Anolis sagrei: one gene and its partners. The protein of the gene in region 1 purifies or fractionates together with the protein of each later gene. This does not show direct contact. Links are inferred from orthologs where the notes say so. Each region holds a gene or a part of one and is shown on either strand. Other genes may lie near its edges.

What was found.
Region 2: the proteins of RBPJ (region 1) and FBXO42 purify together in Homo sapiens (affinity purification with mass spectrometry; 3 studies listed by BioGRID and IntAct, counting the BioPlex papers as one, with this or other methods). This does not show direct contact. The link is inferred for Anolis sagrei from reciprocal best matches to the Homo sapiens genes RBPJ and FBXO42.
Region 3: the proteins of RBPJ (region 1) and MAML1 purify together in Homo sapiens (co-immunoprecipitation; 12 studies listed by BioGRID and IntAct, counting the BioPlex papers as one, with this or other methods). This does not show direct contact. The link is inferred for Anolis sagrei from reciprocal best matches to the Homo sapiens genes RBPJ and MAML1.

The regions. Positions count from the first base shown.
Region 1 is NC_090025.1:113,055,763-113,063,674, reverse strand, and holds the start of RBPJ (recombining binding protein suppressor of hairless), read right to left. Parts: upstream 3,306-7,912; 5' UTR 3,279-3,305; coding exon 3,175-3,278; intron 3,113-3,174; exon of another isoform or gene 3,026-3,112; intron 1-3,025. UniProt on the Homo sapiens protein: Transcriptional regulator that plays a central role in Notch signaling, a signaling pathway involved in cell-cell communication that regulates a broad spectrum of cell-fate determinations.
Region 2 is NC_090033.1:7,742,587-7,750,761, forward strand, and holds the start of FBXO42 (F-box only protein 42), read right to left. Parts: upstream 3,035-8,175; 5' UTR 2,861-3,034; intron 1-2,860. Other genes in the region: SZRD1 (SUZ RNA-binding domain-containing), read left to right, coding at 4,614-4,664, 4,822-4,871, 7,442-7,735. UniProt on the Homo sapiens protein: Substrate-recognition component of some SCF (SKP1-CUL1-F-box protein)-type E3 ubiquitin ligase complex. Specifically recognizes p53/TP53, promoting its ubiquitination and degradation.
Region 3 is NC_090022.1:86,839,844-86,847,171, forward strand, and holds the start of MAML1 (mastermind-like protein 1), read right to left. Parts: upstream 3,035-7,328; 5' UTR 2,755-3,034; coding exon 2,302-2,754; intron 1-2,301. Other genes in the region: CANX (calnexin), read right to left, coding at 7,306-7,328. UniProt on the Homo sapiens protein: Acts as a transcriptional coactivator for NOTCH proteins. Has been shown to amplify NOTCH-induced transcription of HES1. Enhances phosphorylation and proteolytic turnover of the NOTCH intracellular domain in the nucleus through interaction with CDK8.

The DNA.
Region 1 (7,912 bases):
CACTGAGAAGGCCCTGACTCTTGTCCCCGCCAAATGCGCCTGTGACAGGACCAAGAGCAGGGCCTCCCCAGAAGATCTTATTCTTTGTGGTGGTTCGTAAAGGGAGATCCATTGGGACAGATAAACTGGGCCGGGGCCATTTACGGCTTTATAGGCCAAAGCCAGCACTTTGAAATGTGTGTGGTAGCAAACAGGCAATAAGGGAGCTGACATAACATGGGAGTTGTGTTCTCCCTGTATGCCGCCCCAGTTAATAACCTGGCTGTCTCTCGTTGAACTATTTGAAGCTTCCAAGCAGTCTTCAAAGGCAATCCCACGTATTTATTTATTTTATTTATTTACTATATTTATATACTGTCCCTTTCAGCCCGCAGGCAACTTGGGACCGATGGTACCAACACCAAGTTGGTACCAACATCATAAAATACAATTTCAATATAATAAAACAATCGAATAATAAAACCATAACAGAATCAATAAAAATGTATCATTAGGGTCTCCTCATTAAAAACATTGTCCAGTCACATTGTTAACCATTCCACTTTTCTATTTCTGTTACCCTTTATTTGCAAATGCCTGCTCAAAGAGCCAAGCTGGAATATGTCCAGAGGAGGGCGACTAAAATGATAAAGGGTCTGGAGAACAAGCCCTATGAGGAGCGGCTTAAGGAGCTGGGCATGTTTAGCCTGAAGAAGAGAAGGCTGAGAGGAGATATGATAGCCATGTATAAATATGTGAGAGGAAGCCACAGGGAGGAGGGAGCAAGCTTGTTTTCTGCTTCCTTGCAGACTAGGACACGAAACAATGGCTTCAAACTACAAGGGAGGAGATTCCATCTGAACATAAGGAAGAACTTCCTGACTGTGAGAGCCGTGGAACTCTCTGCCCCGGAGTGTGGTGGAGGCTCCTTCTTTGGAAGCTTTTAAACAGAGGCTGGATGGCCATCTGTCAGGGGTGATTTGAATGCAATATTCCTGCTTCTTGGCAGGGGGTTGGACTGGATGGCCCATGAGGTCTCTTCCAACTCTTTGATTCTATGATTCTATGACTCTATTTAACCTTGGTCCCTTTTTGTCCTGTTTTCTTGGATAACTTTCAGTTTTTGGAACCTGTAGCTATGGACAAAATTCTTGGAGAGATGATTCTATGATTCTAACTCTCTTCCGAAATGTTAAAAGGGAGGGGGCCGATCTGATGTCCTTAAGAAGGGCGTTCCATAGCCGAGGGGCCACCACTGAGAAGGCCCTGTCTCTCGTCCCCGCCAACCATGCTTGTCATGAAGGCAGGACCGAGAGCAGGGCCTTCCCAGACAATCTTAAAGTCCTGAGAGGTTCATAAGGAGAGAAGCGTACTGCAACACATAGAGCGTGTTGCAGTAGTCTATCCTGGATGTAGTTTCCAAGCTGTCTTCAAAGGCAGCCCCAAGAAGAGAGCATTGCAGGAATACATATGAGATGTAACTAAAGCTTTGGGCCTCCAGGTGTTTTGGACTTCAACTCCCAGAAATCGCAGCCAGCTTACCACTCTGGGAGCTAAAATCCAAAACACCTGGAGGCCCAAAGGTTGGGAATCACTTATCTAAAGCATGGACCACCGTGGCCAGATCTGGCTTTTCGAGGTACAGGCGCAGTTGGTGCACAAGCTTTAATTGAGCTTCCAGGGTCAGCGCCGAGGCCAGTGTAAGCAGTGCATCCCCTCCCCCCTCCCCGATCCTCAAACACTCTCTGCTTCATTCGGGAAAATGCTACACTCGCAGAGCTCAGGCGGTGTTGTATTTCGGTGTCGATGTTGACTTTGGTGGAGAGGTGGCTGCCAAGGTAGCGGAAGTGGTCAACATTTTCTAATGTTACACCATTAAGCTGTATCTCTGGCATTGGGGAGGGGATGGCTGGCGACTGCTGGAACAGCACTTTGGTTTTTTCAATGTTCAGTGACAGGCCAACCTTCTCATATGCTTCTGCGAAGGTGTTTAGAGTGGCTTGTAGATCTTCTGAATGCGCACAGACGACATTGTCATCAGCATACTGGTATCCGTAGGGATACCAAGGTGTTTGTCTATAAAGCTATTGTCCTCCCAACCCTGCTATATGCCTGCGAAACGTGGACTGTCTACAGACGTCACATGCAACTCCTGGAACAATTCCATCAGCGCTGCCTCTGGAAAATCCTGCAAATCTCTTGGGAAGACAAGCGGACAAATGTCAGCGTGGAAGAAGAAAAAGCCACCAGCATTGAAGTGATGGTCCTCTGCCATCAACTCCGCAGGACCGGCCACATTGTCCGGATGCCTAACCACCATCTCCCAAAGCAGTTGCTCTAATCTGAACTTAAGAACGGAAAACGGAATGTTAGTGGACAGGAAAAGAGATTTAAAGATGGCCTCAAAGCCAACCTTAAAATCTCTGGCATAGACACTGAGAACTGGGAAGCCCTGGCCCTTGAGCGCTCCAGCTGGAGGTCAGCTGTGACCAGCAGTGCTGCAGAATTCGAGGAGGCACTGAGTGGAGGGTGAAAGAGAGAAACGTGCCAGGAGGAAGGCGCGTCAACCCCGACCGGGACCGCCTTCCACCTGGAAACCAATGCCTTCACTGTGGGAGAAAATGCGGGTCAAGGGCTCCACAGCCACCTACGAACCCACAAGGAAACCCATCATGGAAGACCATCTTACTCGTCCAACGAGGGATCGCCTAAGTAAACAGTGCATGGACCAAGTGGCCAAGTCAGATGTCTACCGGAATGGGTCCTCTGGGCCCTAAAAAGCCACCCTGTGCTTTGTCTGGAGAAGGGTTTCGAAGCGGGAGAGTTTTGACAGAAGAGAAAGCAGGTCCCTCAGCTCTCTCGCTTTGTGTTCCCCGCTGGGAACTCGGAGTGAGCCAGGGGCTCCACAGAGGAGCGACCGGGCCCTCACAGGCACGAGGGTCCCTATGGAAACTCGGGCAGAAAACCCCTCACACTCCTCGCCCCTCAACGGCCGAGCAACGCGGCCTCCCCCCGGCCACCCGCCCTCGCACACAACCCCACGCACCGCACACACGCTCCTCCCGGAGGAGGAAGAAAGCCCGGCCCCAGTGGGAGGCCAGGAGTGCCAGCCGAGAGGCCGAGGCCCGGCGGCCCGAGAAAGAGCGGGAGGAACCGACTACGGAGCAACTATGCCACGAACCCCCCCGCACTCACCCTGTCACAACAGGCGCCATCTTCCACAAACTCTCGCCAAAACTCCTACTCTCGCGAGAAGCGGCCAATGTGTCCGCCGCCACTAGCAGGAAAGGCGCGCGCATCCCGCATTTCCCTCCCTCCCTCCGAGAACGCGCACGCGCACGAGCGAGAAAAACAAAAGGCCGAGGGGCGGGGCTACAGGCAGAACGTTGGCCCCGCCCACGTGCTCTGCTCACTGACTCCCAGCTGCTTCCCTTTTTCCCTCGTCTCAAGAGGCAGACACAACAGGCGTGGGAACAGGAACCCAAGCCTCGCGAGTCCTCATGAATGGGAGGCAGGCGCTGACATCGCGAGAGGATAGTGATAGTAAAAAGGAGGGGTGTATGTGTATGTGTGTGTTTCCTTCCTGCCAATCATTCCGGCGCAGTGCTGTCAATAGCACTCTCCTCCCCCCCCCCCGGCCAGAGAATGGAAAGGCCCTGAAACTGAAGGGAACGTCATATTCTTTAATAGAGCCATTCGCAACGTTCTATGGACGAATCCATTAGTTAGCATGGGGGGGTTAGGGATATACCCAGCCGTTTTAAGAGGAGAAACTACAATAAACAAATAGCTTAATTCTCTTAAATAAAAAAAAATACTTCTAGGCCCATTGCTCTACTTTGTGCATTTTGGGGCTTTTGAGTTAATTTGTAACATATTTGTGTTGCACATCACTTGGACCAATGAGGAGGGCCAGAAATCCGCCTTGGTTTCTGTTCCAGAGTTTAAGGGAGCTTTCCATGGTGCTGAACTGAGTTTCCATCCATTCCAAAAATGCTCTTTTTATTGTTTTTCTTGTCTACTTGATGCGATTTTAATTCTATTGATTGTTTATTACTTCTTTACTACTTCTTTATTATGGCATTGCGTGTTTTATAATTTTTTAATGAGATGTTGTGGTTTAATTGATTATTTTTTAATGATTGTAATGTTTGTGTTCCCATTTTATTCGCCTCTTTGAGTCCCAATCTCGAAGAAAAGTAGGATAGAAATAAATTATTAATAATAATAATAACTGGAATTTTATATATATATATGTATATATATATATTCATTTTCTTAATTTAAAATTTAACATAAGAAACCCAAAGAAACAAAAACTTACATACTTACTTACTTAGGCGATCCCTCGTTGTCCGAGTAGGATTGTCTTCCAAGATCGATGTCTTAGTAGTGGGTCCATAGGTGACTGTGGAGCCCTATTTTTGATCTGCATCTTCTCCCACAGTGACAGCATCGGTTTCCAGATGGAAGGCGGTACCGGTCAGGGTTGGCTTGACGCTCCTTCCTCTTGGCACGTTTCTCTCTTTCACCCTCCATTCGTGCCTCTTCAAATTCTGCAGCACTGCTGTTCACAGCTGACCTCCAGCTGGATCACTAACAGGCCAGGGCTTCCCAGTTCTCAGTGTCTATGCCACAGTTTTTAAGGTTGGCTTTGAGCCCATCTTTAAATCTCTTTTCCTGCCCACCAATATTCTATTTTCCATTCTTGAGTTTGGAGTACAGTAACTGCTTTGGGAGACGGTGGTTGGCCATACGGACAACATGGTCCAGCAGAGTTGATGACAGAGGAGCATCACTTAAATGCTGGTGGTCTTTGCTTCTTCCAGCATGCTGACATTTGTCTGCTTGTCTTCCCAAGATATTTTTCAGAGGCAACACTGATGGAATTGTTCTAGGAGTTGCATGAGACATCTGTAGATAGTCTACGTCTCACAGGCATATAGCAGATATATATACACATACATAAATGACAACTGTATAACTAGCTACACAATTTCTCCTACAAATGTGCATCTCTACTCTAATGACATATAACTTTAAAATAGAAACTTGCATGCATAAATCTGTTTTTTAAGAGAGGATTTCCTGCTTCACTTTTGCCTATTTCTCTATAATTTAGCATTTTCTTCCTCCTCCTTATAGCCAGCAAATTATTTATTTCTGCTTGTTTTTACATTAACAAATCTCTATCCCAAGGGTTTATATCTTCAAAACTGTACACAAAGTATATTACATATAGTGTTAATTTTTTACGGAAGGTAATCCCTCCCTAGGAATGTCTAGATCCTCTAGCATGATTTTATGGTCAATGTCTATGGAAGTTAAGCATACCATCGCATTGGTGGTCCTACCAAGTCATATAAAGAACATTTTAATCAATTCCATGAATAATCAAATCTTCAAAAGTCAAACCTTCAAATGTGGGGAGCAACTATAAAAGACTGCAGCCCAAATAGTGATCCTAAGCACAGTTACAAGCCATAGTGACTGGAGTTGGATTGAGAATGCGGTTTCCAGCAGAGGAAAAAGGTCACTTGTATTTGGGATTTGCATCTTGCTGGTATATAAACCAAAGAATAGTGGAACATTTGAAGGATATGTTGGAGAGGAAAGTATGTGACTTCTACCATCCCTTACATTCCCCACCAAAGAGCCACACTCTTTGAGTCATTTTCCATATGAAATTCAACTTCGCAAATGATAGTCTATATCCATTTCAATCTGGTTTCAGGCCTGGTTATAGGACAAAGGTCTACAAATCCCTTCACAGCTCCGTTCCAGATCTGAAGGACTGTATCTCTTTCTATGAACCTGGGAGACATCTGCAATCGACTGGGGAGGGCATTCTCTCTGTCACACCATACACTCAAGGAACATAGGAGAGGGACTTCTGCACCCAAATTGTGTAACTCCCTCCCAAGAGAAACCAGGATGGCCCCATTCCTGCTCTCCTTCTGCAGACAGGTCAAGAACTTCTTCTGCCAGCAGGCATTTGGGGAAGGATAAGGGGCAAAGTGTGGGATAGTTAGCTGCCTTGAGTCCCCATGCAGAGAAAAGTGGGATATTAATAAAGTTAACAATAAATAATAAGATAGCTTTGGTCACCTTAGTGGATGACATACATGGACAACTGGACAGAGGGGAGTGTGTTTCTGTTGGTTCTCCTGGACTTTTCAGTGGCTTTTCATACCATTGACCATGGTATCCTTCTGAGTTGCCTTTCTGGAATGGGTCTGGAAGGTACTGGCTTCTGGAGTCCCTCAGAGTTCCAGTTTGCCTCCTTTTCACCTACTTCCAAGGAAGTGGTTCCTGTGCTAAACTGGTGCCTGGCAGCTGCAATGGACTGGATGAGGGCAAACAAATTGAAGCTTAATCCAGACAAGACAGAGGTGCTCTTTGTCAGTCGTAAAACAAATCTGGGAACAGAGATTCAGTCTGTGTTAGATGGGGTCACACTCCACCTGAAAACACAGGTTAACAGTTTGGGGATAATCTTGGATTTGGTTCTGAACTTGGAGGCCTAGGTACTAGCAGTAACCAGGAGTCTTTTATTAAAGCTAGTATGCCAACTGTGCCCAATCCTGGAGAAGTCAGATCTGGCCACAGTGTGGGTTACAGCCTGCTTGGACTACTGTTATGCACTCTATGGGGGGCTACCTTTGAAAAGTGCTCAGAAACTTCAGCTGGTCCAAATAGCAGTAGCCAGGTTATTAATCGGGGTTGGCAACAGGGGGTGTCCAACTCCTTTGTTGTAGCAGTTCCACTGGCTGTCAACACATTTCCGGGAACCATTCAGAGTGATACAAAGCCCTTATCTTTCTATGAACCTGCTAGATATCTAGGATCTACTAGAGAGGGCCTTGTCTGTCTCACCACCTGCTAAAGTGCATTTGGTGAGAACAGTGGAGAAGGCCTTTTCAGTGGCTTCTCCCAGACTATGGAACTCCCTCCCAGGAGAGACCCTGCTGGCCTTCTGCAGGCAAATTAAGACTTTTCTCTGCCAGCAGGCAATTGGGGAAGGAAGAGGGGAATGCTGCAGGGGAGGCTGGAAGGAGAGTCGGGGATGATATTTCATTTTAAATCTAATTTTAATTTTATGAGTTATTTTATTGAATCTTAATCATAATTTTGAATACATGACACAACTATTTAATTGCTTTTAATTGTTCTTTAACTTTTGTATTTGCCATGTTTTTAAATTTATTGGTTGTGTCATGAAATTGTAAGTTACCTTGAGAAAGGTAGAATATAAATAATAAAGAATTCTGAAACAAGGGGGGGGGATAAGTTTTCACTTGATTCTATGCTAGAAGGAAGGATATGTGATCTCCACTATTCATTACAACAGACCTCATCCTCCAGGTAAGTACAATGCTTCTTATTTGTTTGTTTGTTTAATTTATATCCCACCCTTCTTCTAGAATTGGACCAAAGCAGTCTACAAACTAACAAAATAAAATGTGGCTAATTTATGTGCTGTACAAAAAATTTGGCCTGCAGCTTTCAGGTTTTGAAAAAAGAAAGGGAGAAAAGTTTCCACACAGTAAAATCCATTGTGGCGCAATTCTGCGTACACCCACAGGAGGTTAAGTTCTTTTCAAAAGTGTGGGAGTTACCTCTGAGACAAACACATGGAACTGAAAAAAAATCTTAGAAAGGATCATGATTGCAATAAGGGAGTGTTGAATCTAATTGGGGCAACACCCTAAAGGACTCTTTTGCACTCTCTTAAGTTTGTTAAGTAACTATCAGTAAGATACTGGCTTCAGTATCAGTGACATAAAGAGGCTACACCTTGCAGGGAGTTAATAATAGGCAGGAATAACCAGTAGCATTCTCTAGTAATGTTTTAATGGGAGCTGGGATAGCTCATAATAGAAATTATGGCAAACTTCCCTCCCCAGACTGCTCCAGATGGGACTTCATTATC
Region 2 (8,175 bases), on another chromosome or scaffold:
AGAGGAGCCCACCTGCAGTTGCAGAGTTCAACAAAAGTCTGTTTACAAATCAGAGCCAAGCAGGAGAAGCACAAAGTCCTCCTGACACAGATGGTTATCCAACTGTTGTAGATCAGCTACCAGAGGCTGGTGGTATAACTGATGATTTAGAGAGGATTGTGAGCTTTCCTGTGGCACAAAGCGATGGGCTCTCAAACCCGGGAAATGATGGTTCTCTCTGTGAGAAACCTGGCTCGGAAAGTGCAGGGCCTCAAGGGCATGCATTCAGGGGAGTCAGAAGTAGCAACAGCTGATAAGGGATCGAGTGAAAAGCTGAGTGACAAGGAGGGTTCCCAGAGGAGCCCACCTGCAGCTGAAGAGTTCAACAAAAGTCTGTTTACAAATCAGAGCCAAGCAGGAGAAGCACAAAGTCCTCCTGACACAGATGGTTACCCAACCATTGTAGATCAGCCACCAGAGGCTGGTGGTATAACTGATGATTTAGAGAGGATTGTGAGCTTTCCTGTGGCACAAAGTGATGGGCTCTCAAGTCTGAGAAATGATTTTATTTATTTATTTATTTATTTGTTTTTACGGTATTTGTATACCGCTTTTCTCACTCCGAGGGGGACTCAAAGCAGTTTACACATAAGTAATGGCAAAATTCAATGCCAGTACAAACAATTATAATTCTGTGAGAAAACTGGCTCGGAAAGTGCAGGGCCTCAGGGTCATTCATTCAGAGGAGTCAGAAGTAGCAACAGCAGATAAGGAATTGAGTGAAGAACTGAGCGATAAAGAGGGTTCCTAGGGGAACCCACCTGTAACTATGGAGATCAACAAAAGTCTTTGTTTACAAATCAGAGCCAAGCAGGAAAAGAACAAAGCCCTCCTGACAGATAGCTGCCCAACTATTATAGATAGGCCACCAGAGGCTGGTGGTTTCACTGATGACTTAGAGAGAATTTTGGGCTTTCCCGTGGCACAAAGCGATGGGCTCTCAAGTCTGGGAAATTCAAGTATAGGAAATGATGGTTCTCTTTATGGATAAACTAGCTCAGAAAGTGCAGGGCTTCAAGGGCATTCATTCAGAGGAGTCAGAAGTGGCAACATCAGATAAGGAATTGAGTGAAGAACTGAGCGATAAGGAGGGTTCCCAGGGAAACCCACCTGTAACTATGGAGATCAACAAAAGTCTGTTTACAAATCAGAGCCAAGCAAGAAAGGAACAAAGCCCTCCTGACAGATACCTTTCCAACTGTTATAGATCAGCCACCAGAAGCTGGTGGTTTCACTGATGATTTAGAGAGGATTTGGGGCTTTCCCGTGGCACAAAGCGATGGGCTCTCAAGTCTGGGAAATTCAAGTCTAGGAAATGAGGATAAGGGCATTCATTCAGGGGAGTCAGAAGTAGCAACAGCAGATAAGGGATCGAGTGAAAAGCTGAGCGATAAGGAAGGTTCCCATGGGAAACTATCTGTACTTACAGAGATCGTTTACAAATCACAGCTGAAAATAGACTGTGCCATTCAGAGAGAGTGCGTGGAAAAGTTGAGAAGGAAATTCACGGGAAACGGAATAATTTCATGGGTGTCGATTAAGCTGACTCTGGAAGAGCAGGGGCCTCGAGGGCGTTCACTCCGAGGAGTCAGAAATAGCAAGAGCTAAAAAGGAGTCGAGTGAAGATGAAAAGGAAATTAACGGGAAACGGAATGATTTCATGGGTGTCGATTAAACTGACTCTGGAAGTGCAGGGGCCTTGAGGGCATTCATTCCAAGGAGTCAGAAATAGCAACAGCTAATAAAGAGTCGAGTAAAGATGAGAAGGAAATTCACGGGAAATGGAATATTTTCATGGGTGTCAATTAAACTGACTCTGGAAGAGCAGGGGCCTCGAGGGCGTTCATTCCGAGGAGTCAGAGATAGCAAGAGCTAAAAAGGAGTCGAGTGAAAATGAGAAGGAAATTAACGGGAAACGGAATGATTTCATGGGTGTCGATTAAACTGACTCTGGAAGAGCAGGGGCCTCGAGGGCGTTTATTCCGAGGAGTCAGAAATAGCAACAACTAATAAAGAGTCGAGTGAAGAGCTGAGCGATAAGGAGCGAGGGAGATTGTAGCAAGGGAGATTGTTTACAAATCAGAATCCAAAACAGATTGCGTTGTACAGAGAGATTACGTGGAAACGTTGTGATGGAAGTTCACGGAAAACGGAATGATTTCATGGGTGTCTATTAAACAAGACATCGTTGACGCTATGGGCTGTTAGGAATCGGGAGTCTAAAACACCTGGATTCTCCCGACAGCAGGTCTGAATTTTTAGCAAGCATGGGCCAACTTCGGCCTTCCCTCCAGGTGTTTTGGACTTCAACTCCCACAATTCCTAACAGCCGGTAGGCTGTTAGGAATTGTGGGAGTTGAAGTCCAAAACACCTGGAGGGAAGGCCGAAGTTGGCCCATGCCTGATCTATAGGATGTTGGTTGGGAGCCCAAATCACCAGGCCTGGATCTATTCTATAGACTGTTAGGAATGCTGGGAGTTGGAGTCCAAAACACCTGGAGGGAAGGCCGAAGTTGGCCCATTCCTGATCTATAGGATGTTGGTTGGGAGCCCAAAACACCAGGCCTGGATCTATTCTATAGACTGTTGGGAATGCTGGGAGTTGGAGTCCAAAACACAGGAAGGCCCAGGCCTACTGTCTGGAGAGGCGGGACAGGCCTCAGGGACTCCAACTCCCAGAATGCCCGGCCGTGGTCCCAACCGGCGGGGGCTGCTGGGAGTTGTAGTCCAGAGGCCTGGGCGCCTCTCAGCGGGGCGCTCCGTTTCTGCCACATCACGAGAGGGCGGGGCCAGGGGCCGGAAGGGGGGCTGCTGGCCTCACCTGCCGCTTCCGCGCTCCCTCTCCCTCCTCAGAGCCGCCTTCGGTTCCTCCGGGCCGGGCGCCCACAGCAGCGCCAGCCGCCTTCTCGGGGTTCCCCCGCCTGAGCCCTCCCGGCCACCGTCTCCGCCGCCATCGCTCGGCTCAGGGGCGGGGACGAGGCCAACGCGCAGGCGCCTCCCGCCGTCACGTGGGGCCTGCGCGGGCGCCATCTTGGTTGCCCCCTCGTCAGGGCGGCGCCATCTTGGGAAGGATTGTGACGCCATCTTGGCTCCTCCCCCTATCGACCAATACTCAGTTTCGGTGTTTTGGGATACTGCGCATGCGCCACACTGGTGAAGGAATTCAGGTTCTTTCGTGTATCCGATTTTTCCTACTTCGGGATACTGCGCATGCGCCACACTGGTGAAGGAATTCGCGCCACTGCGCACGCGCAAAACCAAAACCGGCCCCTCCCTATATGGAAGCAGCGGAGGCACCTAAAGATACTGCGCATGCGCCACGCCGCTGAATGCATGCCCGCTCTCGGGGTGAATGGCGCCACTGCGCATGCGTGAATTGGCACTTTCTCTACACACGGAGAGTGGAGACACTTTGGGATATGGAAGGAGTCCCTGCTCTCAGAGCGAGGGGCGACACTGCGCACGCGCGAACTCGCGCCTTTCGCGGAGGCACATAGGAATACTGCGCATGCGCCATACAGCTGAAGGAATCACTGCGCACGCGCGAATTCGCACCTTTCTACATTGAGACATATAGAAATACTGCGCATATGTCACACAGCTGAAGGAATCCCTGCTCGCACAGCGAGAGGTAACACTGCGCACGCGCGAACTCGCACCGTTCGCAGAGGCTCATAGGGATACTGCGCATGCGCCGTACAGCTGAAGGCATCCCTGCGACACTGCGCACGCGCGAACTCGCACCTTTCTACAGTGAGACATATAGGGATACTGCGCATGCGTCACACAGCTAAAGGAATCCCTCTCAGAGCGAGGAACGACACTGCGCACGCGCGAACTCGCACCTTTCCATATTGAGACATATAGGGATATTGCGCATGCGTCACACAGCTAAAGGAATCCCTCTCAGAGCGAGGAGCGACCCTGCGCACGCGCGAACTCGCACCTTTCTATATTGAGACAGATAGGGATAGTGCGCATGCGTCACACAGCTGGAGGAATCCTTGCTTTGAGCGAGGGGCGACACTGCGCACGCGGGAACTCGCACCTTTCTACATTGAGACATATAGAGATATTGCGCATGCGTCACACAGCTGAAGGAATCCCTGCTCTGAGCGAGGGGCGACACTGCGCACGCGCGACCTCGCACCTTTCTACATTGAGACATTGAGAAGGAATCCCTGCGCTGAGCGAGGGGCGACACTGCGCACGCGCGAACCCCCACCTTTCCACATGCAGGCACATGTGGATACTGCGCATGCGCCACACGGCTGAAGGGATTGCCCGAGCTCTCAGGGGCGCCACTGCGCACGCGCACACGGGCACCTTTCCCTACATGGGGCGGAGCGAGGAAGGGCACGGCTCCAACCGCGCATGCTCCGCCCGACGAAAAGGGTAGGAGCCCGGGAAGCCGCGCATGCGCTCTTGTTCGGGGGGCGGCGAGCGAGGAGCCTCAGCGGCGGCGAGGGCGAGGGGCAAAAAGAAGGGAAGGGGAGCGAGGGAAGGAAGGAAGGAAGGGGCGGCTTAGCGCGCATGCGCCTCGAGCGGGCTGGCGGCGGCGGAGGGGCCTGACGATGGAAGATGAGGAGGTCGCGGAGAGCTGGGAGGAGGCGGCCGACAGCGGGGTGAGGAGGAGGAGGCGCAGGCTTCGGGGCGCCTGCTAGGCCTCTTAAAGGGGCCGCGCCCTCCCACGTGCGCTTGCCTGCCTGCCTTCAAGGGGGAGGAGGCCTGGCTTCCTTCGTTGAGGGGGGTCTCCTCAAACGCCCCTTTTTTGCCTTGCAGGAAATAGACAGGCGGCTGGAGAAGAAGCTGAAGATCAGCCAGAAGGAGAGGTGAGGAGTTCCCTTTGTTTGGACCCCCTCCCTCTGGGCGTTTTGGACTCCCACAATTCCTAACAGCCGGTAGGCTGTTAGGAATTGTGGGAGTTGGAGTCCAAAACGCCCGGAGGGAGGGCCCAAGTTGGCCAAGGCCTGCTCTACATTTGATGTATTTACTAGCTTGCTATCCATTATTGGTATTATGATTATTATAGATTATATTATCTATTATTATTATACTATATTTATATCCCACTTTATCTCTCCCAAAGGAGACTCAGAGTGGCTATGTATCCATTACTGCTATTAGAATTATATATTATATTATTATCTATTATTATAATATTATTTTATTTATTTATACCCCACTTTATCTCTCCCGAAGAAGACTCAAAGTGTCTATGTATCCATTACTGCTATTACAATATATTAGAATTATATATTATATTATTATATTATCTATTATAATGGTATTATTGTTATATTTATTTATACCTCACTTTATCTCTCCCCAAGGAGTGTCTATGTATCCATTATTGCTATTACAATATATTAGAGTTATATATTATGTTATTATATTATCTATTATAATGCTATTATTATTGTATTTATTTATACCTCTCCCAAAGGAGAATCAAAGCCATGTATCCATTATTAGTATTGCAATGCATTATTATTATCTATTATATTATCTATTGTTATACTTATTTATAATATTATAATATTTATTTATATCCCACTTTATCTCTCCTGAAGGAGACTCAGAGTGTCTATCCATTATTGCTATTACAATATATTATAATTATATATTATATTATTATGTTGTATATTATTATAATGCTATTATTATTGTATTTATTTATACCCCACTTTATCTCTTCCGAAGGAGACTCAGAGTGCCTATGTATCCATTATTGGTATTACAATATATTACAATTATATGTTGTGTTATTATGTTATCTATTATTATTGTATTTATTTATACCCCACTTTATCTCTCCCCAAGGAGAATCAAAGCCATGTATCCATTATTAGTATTGCAATACATTATTATTATCTATTATATTTATGGTTATATTTATTTATCATATTATTGTATTTATTTATATCCCACTTTATCTCTCCTGAAGGAGACTCAGAGTGGCTATGTATCCATTATTGCTATTACAATATATTATAATTATATACTGTGTTATTATGTCATCTATTAAATTCTTCTTCTTCTTCTTCTTCTTCTTCTTCTTATTATTATTATTATTATTATTGTATTTATTTATACCCCACTTTATCTCTTCCGAAAGGAGACTCAGAGTGTCTATGTATCCATTATTGCTATTATAATATATTATAATTATATATTATATTATTATGTTGTCTATTATAATATTATAATTTTATTTATTTATTTATTTAAAACGTTTATACCCCACTTTATTTTTTCCAAAGGAGACTCAGAGTGGCTATGTATCCATTATTGGTATTACAATATATTACCATTATATATTATGTTATCTATTATTATAATATTATTATTATTATTGAATTTATTTATTCCCCACTTTATCTCTCCCGAAGGAGACTCAAAGTGGAAGTGTATCCATTATTGCTATTAAATATTTTGCTAAACGTCGCCGCATTGCCCACTGCCCACAAACATACATACATATTTATTTATTATTTATTTACCGTATTTGTATACCACCAATTGGCGACTCAAGGCGGTTTCTAACAAATCAGTATACATAAAACGTAATAGATAAAAAACATTAAACAGTATAAAACGTCATAAAAGCAACATCATCAGCGTCTCATTATTCTCAAGCATTGTCCAATTCCATTGTCAGGTCATTCGATTTCCTATATTAGCTACTCTGTATTTGTAAACGCTTGCTCGAATAGCCATGTTTTAACTTGCCTCCGAAACGTCAAGAGGGAGGGAGCAGATCTGATTTCCCTAGGGAGGGCATTCCATAGCTGAGGGTCCACCACTAAGAAGGTCCTGTCTCTCACCCCCGCCAAACATGCTTGTGACAAAGGTGGGACCGAGAGCAGGGCCTCTCCAGATGATCTTAAAGTCCTAAGTGGTTCATAAGGGGAGATACGTTTGGACAGGTAAGTTGGGCCAGAACCGTTTAGGGCTTTATAGGCCAAAGCCAGCACTTTGAATTGGGCCCAGTAGCAAACTGGCAGCCAGTGGAGCTGGCGCAACAAACATTCACTTTTATTACGACTGGCTTGTTAAGAATGGTGGGAGTTGCAGTCCAAAACACCTGGAGGGAAGGCTGAAGTTGGCCCATGCCTGCTCTAAACCCTTTGTCCTTTGGTTGTGCCTATTGTAATTCTATATTGCTATGTTTTCACATGCTTTGTGTAATTATGTTGTTGTTATTGTTTGCATTTTCAGTTTTATTTTATTGTAATTTGCGGTTTGGGCTTGGCCTCATATAAGCCGCTCCGAGTCCCCATCGGGGAGATGGTGGCGGGGTATAAATAAAGATTATTATTATTATTATTTATTTGCTGCTTCCTTCCTGTCCTAGCACGTCGTTGTCGTCCTGACTGGCTCAGTCTATTTCTTTCCGCAGCCGGAAGCCGCGCTCCCCGCCGAAGGCCCCCCCAGTGGTGCTGCAGGACGAGGGCCTTCCCTTGGCGGGGCCCCCTCCCCAGATCCGCATCCTGAAGCGTCCCACCAGCAACGGGGTCTTGGGCAGCCCTCGCACCGCCAGCCGGCCCGCCTTCCCCGTCAAGTCCCTGGCCCAGAGGGAGGCCGAGTACGCCGAGGCTCGCAAGCGCATCCTGGGCAGTGCCAGCCCCGAGGAGGAGGAGGAGGACGACGAGGAGCAGCAGCAGCGCGGGCCCGACAAGCCCCTCCTCGACAGGTGAGGCAAGCACATTGGCCTTTGCGGATGCTGCGGTTCTGTTTAGGACAACCATACAGTCCCAGGGTTGGAAGGGTCCAAGTTCCAGGGTTGGAAGGGTTCAAGTCTCTTCTGTTGTGTTTAGGACAAGTATATGGTCCTAGGGTTGGAAGAGTTCAAGTCTCTTCTGTTAGGCAGGAAGGACACAATCAAAGCTCCCCAGAGAGCGGACCATCCTGCCAGCTTTTTCCTCATAATAATAATAACAACAACAACAATAATAATATGTCCGACATGTGATCGAATACAAAAGCCAGCAGAGTGATCTTGTTTGCTGTGTACTAATCATGTTGTGTATCTAATAATAATAATAATAATAATATAGAGTCAGAAGGGAGCCAAGGGCCATCTAGTTCCTTCTGTTGTGCAGGAAAAGCACAATCAAAGCACCCCGGAAAGAT
Region 3 (7,328 bases), on another chromosome or scaffold:
CAATGGAGGGACAAAAGTGCCACCTAGTATTTTAATTTTACTCTGTTCAAACTTAGAAGAAGGTTCATAGTTCAAAGGACAACTTCCTTTTAAATAAGGCACACATACACACACACACCAGAAGCTATGTTAAAGGGTGATGGGGTGGAGGTGCCTTGGGGGCAACACAACCCCTCAGGTCTACTTCAGCCCCTGCAGTCAGATCTTACATTTCACTAGTTCCTCTTTTTGTTATAAAAGTGAGTAACAGTAAAAAAAAACAACAACAACACAGCAATAAACTGAAGTTTTCCCCTTGAAACTTGAAAGAATCCAGTGTACCCTTTATTTTGGCCACTATTCAACTGCAAGTCTAGGAGTTACTACTTTTCTACCAACTAGGACGACGATTTGTGCCCGAAATGAATGGGAGAAGATGTCATCCATGGGCAAGGCTTAAGTGAATAGCAGAACAATTACTCTTTTGACTTGACTGGTTACTGGGCTGTTGTGCGACTTCCTGCCCAGAACGGGAAATTCAAGATGCAATGGAGGGACAACAGTGCCACCTAGTATTTCAGTTTTACTCTGTTCAAACTCAGGGGAAGAAGGTTCATAGTTCACTTCAAAATATAACCTCCTTCTAAATAGGTGAAAGGGACACATGCTGATATACAAGGAGTTATTCTAAGGGGAGGGAGGAAGAGAGGATATGAAGGCAAAACAACCTTGCAGGCCTACTCTGGCCCCTCAAGCCAGATCTTACATTCTTCACAACATTGTTGTTGTTGCTGTTGTTAAAACAAAGGTTAAGATCTTCTGGGGAGGCCCTGCTCTCAGTAAAACCTGCTTCGCAAGTGCGGTTGGTGGGGACGAAAGACAGGGCCTTCTCAGTGGTGGCTCCTTGGCTCTGGAACTCTCTCCCCAGTGAGATTAGATCAGTGCCCTCCCTCCTGGCCTTTAGAAAGAGAACAAAGATATAGTTATGGAGCCAAATTTTTGGCTAATAAAGTAACGCAGTACTAGAAATAAATATGGAATATGTGCAATCGATGTCTGGAATGGCCCTGGTCTAAGAGTTTGGATCATGTGATTTTAATGTTCATATTAGGTGGTTTGAATGTTTATGTCCTCATGCCTAAATTTTGTTTTATCTTATGTTAAATTGTCTTATTGATTTTAATGCAATTTTATTTATTCATTTATTATTTACAATATTTATGTATCGCTTTTCTCACCTCTGGGAAGACTCAAAGCCGTTTACAAAACCTAATGGCAAAATTCAATGCCTTACATCAGGCATCCTCAAACTGTGGCCCTCCAGCTGTTTGGGCCTTCAACTCCCAGAATTTTTGACAACTGAACCAGGTCATTAGGCTTCTGGGAGATGGAGGGGCCTAAACATCTGAATGGCCGCAGTTTGTGGCTGCCTGCCTTACATACATCAACCAAATCATAAATCAAACAGCATACGACTAAGCATAAAATACAATACGGCTAATTCCCCATAAGATAATATTTATTTATTTATTTATTTATTTGCGATGCTTATATGCCGCCCTTCTCACCCCGAAGGGGACTCAGAGCGGCTTACAATATATATTTTCATACAATATATTATATTATATTATACAATATATTATATTATATTATTAGCAAAGTACAATATCAGTATATATTACTATATTGTACCATACCATTATATTGTAATGTTATTAATGTAATAGGACATTTAAACCTGAAGTAAAAAAATTACAGACACCTAATAAAAACATTAAAATCACATGATCCAAACTCATAGACTGGGCCATTCCAGATGTCCATTACACATATTCCATATTTACTTCTTGTTTGATTTTGTTTAGATTTATTATTTGGCTTCTTATGTATGTGAGGGTGAATTTTGCCACTATTTGTTGTAAACCGCTTCGAGTTCTCTCCTGGGGTGAGAAAAGCGGTATTTAAATAGAGTAAATAAATAAATAATAAACAAATAACAACAAAAACAACACCACGTTAATCTGGAGGAGCCAAGATATCGCCTTGGCACTTGAAAGAAATCAGTTGACACTCTTATTTTGTCCTCAACTCAACTGGAAGTCTAAGGAGTGGGGACTTTGCCTACCAAGGAGAGAGAGGGAGGACTGGTGCCTGAATGGGAGAAGGGAAGGCGGTGGGGGAGCAGTGCCTTGCCTGGCTGCTTCCTGCCCAGGGTGGGAGAGAAGGAAAGAGGCCGGGAGGCGCTCAAACTCGGGGGAGAGTTCACTTGGAAGTAGAACTTCCTTTTAAATGGTCGAGAGGGGCCTGCTGCTCCTTACTCACCGCGATGAGGGCGCTGCTGCTGCTGCTGCTGCTGCTCCGGCCCCCGTGTTGCTGCTGCTGCTGGGCCTGCTCCCCGCCCGCGGCGTCGGCGTCCAGCCCGTTGGCGGGGGCGGAGGAGGGGGCGGCGGGGCCCGGGGCCTGCGCGGCGGGGGCGGCGGGCGCCGAGGGGGCTGCTCCGGCGGAGGCCGCGGCTGGTGGGGCCTGGGCCTGCGGGGGCGGCGGGGGCTGGCGGTGCTTCCCGGCGCGCTTGGCCTTGGCCTGGAGGCAGCGCTGGTGGAGGGCGAAGGTCTGCTGGCGCTCCAGCTCCAGGCGCTCCGGGGAGACGGCCTGGTAGCGGGACTCGCAGGCGCTGTGGTGCCGCCGGCAGAGCTCGATCCGCCGGCGGAGGCGCTCCATCACCGCGCTGTGCCGCGGCACCGCGAACTCCGCCATCGGGGAAGGGGCCAGGACCATAGGAGGCGAGGCCAGAGGAGAGGACGGAGACGAGGGAGAGGGACTCACCAAGCCGGCGGGGGCGGCGGCGCCATGTCCGAGCACCGGCCTGCCCTTGGTCCCAACTTCAGCGCCGCCTCCTTCTCCTCCGCTAGGCCGCACCAGGCCCCGCTCCCTGCCTCAGGCCCAAAGGCGCCCCGGCCTCCCCAGACCCATTGTTATCCTCGCCTCGGCCGCCGCCATCTTGGAATGGCTTTGCCCCCTTTGCCTCCCTTCCCCCAGCTCCGAGGGGGCGGGCTTCCCGACGCGGCGGCGGCGTCACGACCCGCGAGCTCACTGGCTGCTGCGCTTTGACTGGCATTCGGGCCAGCCAATAGTGCAGGAGGAGGACGGGATGGGGAAGGAGGGAACTTTTTTTCACCCGAGCTTTTCCGTCTCCCCCTCCCCCCACCTTTCCGGAAGAAGATAAGGGGCGGGGCTTCATGATTGACCCCGCCCAATCAAATGGAAGCTAGAATCATAGAATCCTAGAGTTGGGAGAGACTTACTGGGCCATCCAGTCTAACCCCGTCAAGAAGCAGGAAAATCGCATTCAAAGCCCCCCGCCTCCTACAGATGCCCACCCAGCATTATTTCTCAACCTGTTGGTCCCCTCAGCTTACAACTTACAGAAATCCCAGCCATTTACCTGCTGTGAGAGTTCAAGGCCAAAACATCTGGAGACCCACTGGTTTAAAAGCCTCCAAATGAGCCCCCACCACACTCTGGGGCAGAGAGTTCCACTGCTGAACAGCTCTCATCGTTAGGAAGTTCTTATATTTGTATGCTGTTCCTCTGAATGGGAAAAGGAAAGCTGGGAGAGGCGACTTCATAGAGTACAAAAAGGACAGAGCTCCCCTCAGGACAGCCAGAAGTCAAATCAGATTGTCCTTTTAAAAAGATTACTAGAGAAACAGTACTTACAAGACACCCCCCCCCCCCTTCAGACTTCAATTAATGACCTTTTCAAGCTTTTGCATTCGTGCATCTTCTAACCATTACAATATACCTCACAGCAAAAGATATACAAAGCAAACTGGAGAACAAGGTTTTATCAATTGAATGGAAATAAATAAATAAATTGAAATAAATTTCCTGACAGCTTGTAGAACTGCATTTCCCATCATGTCCATAATTACCAATACTAACAGACTGAATAAGACACATTTTGAAGAGCAAGACAATTTTTTAAAATAATTCAGGTGACTTAGACCTCTAAAAGCTCATTATATGTTTACTTGAACTATTTTTTTTTAAAAAAAATACCGATTAATTCAATTTAGTTAACGCTGAAGTTATTATCTCAGCTGATTGTGTAAACTAAGCAGGTTAAGCTCTGAACAGTACTTGATGGGAAACAGTCAACGAGTGCCAGATTTTAGAGGAAGGAATTGGCAAACCACCATCTGAATATTCCTTGCCTAACAGAGATGACTTGAAGGCATGGGCACACACGGAAATCTACAAATGAATCAAGATGGAATCTTTTGTTTTAAAACATTAAGCTAGATGTATTTTCAGTACATCTCAAACGGAAAGCTAGACCAACATGTTTTTTGCATGATATTTAGTTCTTTCAGAACCATTTGGTCTCTTATTCATGCCCTAATACTAAACTCCAAAGATTAAAAACATTATAGTAAACTAGACAATAGAAAATAGTGGTTTATGTTTCTTTATTAATCAGAGTATGCTTACATTTGTTCATAACTTAACCAATATATTTATATGCATACTGCATCTTCAGATTTATCATTTTTATAACAGTCAGGACTTATGAGAAAATCACAGTCTTTTTTTCCAACACTTTAAGGGGGGTTGCATCTGAAACTTGTATGGAGGCAATACTGGCATTAGAAGACTATAGCTGAAGAGAAGGCAGAAGGGTGCCAAGAAAAAGCACCATATTTACTGCCACAAATCAAGTGGAGCTAAGCTTTCAAGACCCAGGGTACTTTTTCCTCATTAATGGTTGATTGTATATGATTCCCCTGTCATCTGCAACATCCACATATGAAACTCAGTGCATTTTACATCAGCATTTTAAACATGTGCAACTTTGCAGTGTTATTTTCAGAAAGACCAGTTGTTCATCAAAGAACGTTATCTTGATGAAAAAGTGTCTACTTTTACCCAACACACTAACACCAATGGATTTGAAGCTGCTGTGATGGTCTTTATTTTCTGAACAAAATAAAAATCAAGTAAGTAGTCTAACATCCCATTCACCTTGCTATTCCCTTCTGTGCAATAATACATTTTCTATATGGTCTTAATATATGGAATTATTTTCCTGCTATCAGTTCAACTCTATCAGCACAAAATATTTCATACATCCAAATATACTTTCTTCAAACTTAAAAAAATAACCATCCTTCAAGTCACAGCACTTCAATTATTTGGAAACTCAACAACTTCATAATACATGAACTCTTGTTTAACTTCAAGATAGCAGATATGATATTTTCCTGGTGTAGAATATTCTGTAATATGGATTCACCAAGACACATTGGGATCAAGATTTTTGAAATACATAAACTTTAAAAACAAAAGTTATTGTAGTGCCTTTGCAAATTTTGCTGACATAAAAAAGCCAAAACATGCAAACAGCAGAGCATTCTGGAGAAACCCCTGTGAATATCAAACGTATTACACCTTTAGCTTTAGATTAAGCATTGCCTCCTGACATTATCTAAAAAGAAGTTCATTTCAGCAACTATTTTGGAAAGAAAGGAATATGTGTTCTATGGAAAAATAAAGGAACAAAACAGCTTCTTCAAAAGACAGCATTAACTCAAGCATTAAAATTAGTTCTAACTCCGAGTTGTTAAATACCCAATGCAAGTGCAGAAAAAAATGGATGCGAGGCAGCTATGAACAGTATTTTTATCCAGTGCCTGAACAACTAAAAAGAGCAAATGATTCAAGCACAGTCTGCAAGTTCTGTAGCTTCAAATGCGGCAGCATGTGGAAAAATCAAGGAACTAGAAAATGTTACAAGATGCAACAATCTGGCTTTTAAAAGCAAAATAGTCCTTAAGTAGATTTTAAAGCTTCATTTAAAAACAAACTATGCACTGACTAAATCAAGAAGCTCCATAGCACATTTATGATTACATGTTTGGACACGACAGTCATATTTTGCAGGCAGCAAAATTCTCAGTTTGGTTTCTCTGATAAACTTGGAAGTGTTGTATTCAGTGCACTTACAACAGGTTTGCCCCTATGAGCAAACAGTAGCCTACTGTCGATGAAGCATTTTTCTTCTATTATCTCCTATCTCTCACCACCAGAACTGAGTTTCATCTTTAGAGATATTTAAGATGATCATCTGCAATCCATTCAAAGTGGGATTCTGAATGGTTAGATACTCAAATGCAATACACTTTTAAGAATTTATTTAGCTGGAACTGGAAATCCCTACATTCACAATGGTTTGATACATGAATAGCAGTATGTTTCATAGACCCAATGAGTTTTCACATGCTCCTTCCTCAGCTTCAAATACTGATATTTCCATTCAATGTAAGTCTATTTAGATTGCCTGATCACTGTGAATGAATGTACATACAACAGGCACAATTAGAAAATTAGCAACACTGTCCATTCCACAGTGTTTAGAACCCAGAAATAAGTAATTCTAGGTTTGCAGGGTTTTGTTTTTTTTAAAAAAGCACACTATAGACTGAACAGTGAGTTGAACATATGTAGTTTACAGCAACTAAGCTGCATTCTGAAGGAATTGCACAGCAACAGATAGAAAGAGGAAGGAGCTTTTAAAACCACAGGGGAAATTGTAAAAAGAAAGAAGACAAACCTCATACTGAAGACAATTTAAGGCCTAAAGCAAGAAGACGGTCCAACCTTAATCTTTGTACCCTAAACCAAAATCTGCTCCCAAAGTTAGGCTGATTATGAATACTGTTTAACCTGGGCAGTGCCCATGGCCAACATATAGATTTCATGGCCTCATTGTGGTTTTTCCACCAACAAGAAAGAAGGACTTGAAAAAAATTATCTTAAAGGATTTTAACTTCTGCTTTCATTGAATGAACTGGAAACATGAAGGTAATGGCATTGACTCATTTACTTTAACATGATCAAACTAAGGGAAATAAATGTTCAATAAAAATGTCCATGTTTACAAAAAAATATATAAAATTGTATATGTAGTATTTTTCTAAGGGTTGGTGTTCATTTCCATTGACAGATTAATACATTAATTTAAGCCAAGGTTTTGAGACTGGCAATTCTATCATTCTATTTAAAAACAAAGAAAAATGTTAGTTCTTGTAACATTCCAGAAATTTATAGCTGGGTTGTGTTAAATGCATTCTTTTTCTACAGGATTTTTCTACTTAAAAACACAATGCAAGTATTTGACCGCTAAACACCCATTTACACTGGAGAGCATTTGACAGGAACCTGTGGATGGTGAATCTTGAGGTTTTTTGAGTTTCAGCAAAAAGTATCCAAGGTCCTCTCCCAAAACCATGTTGGGGAAAATGAATCAGATCAAGTTCTTAAGATATTTCAATCTTTTCTTGGTTTTCTGT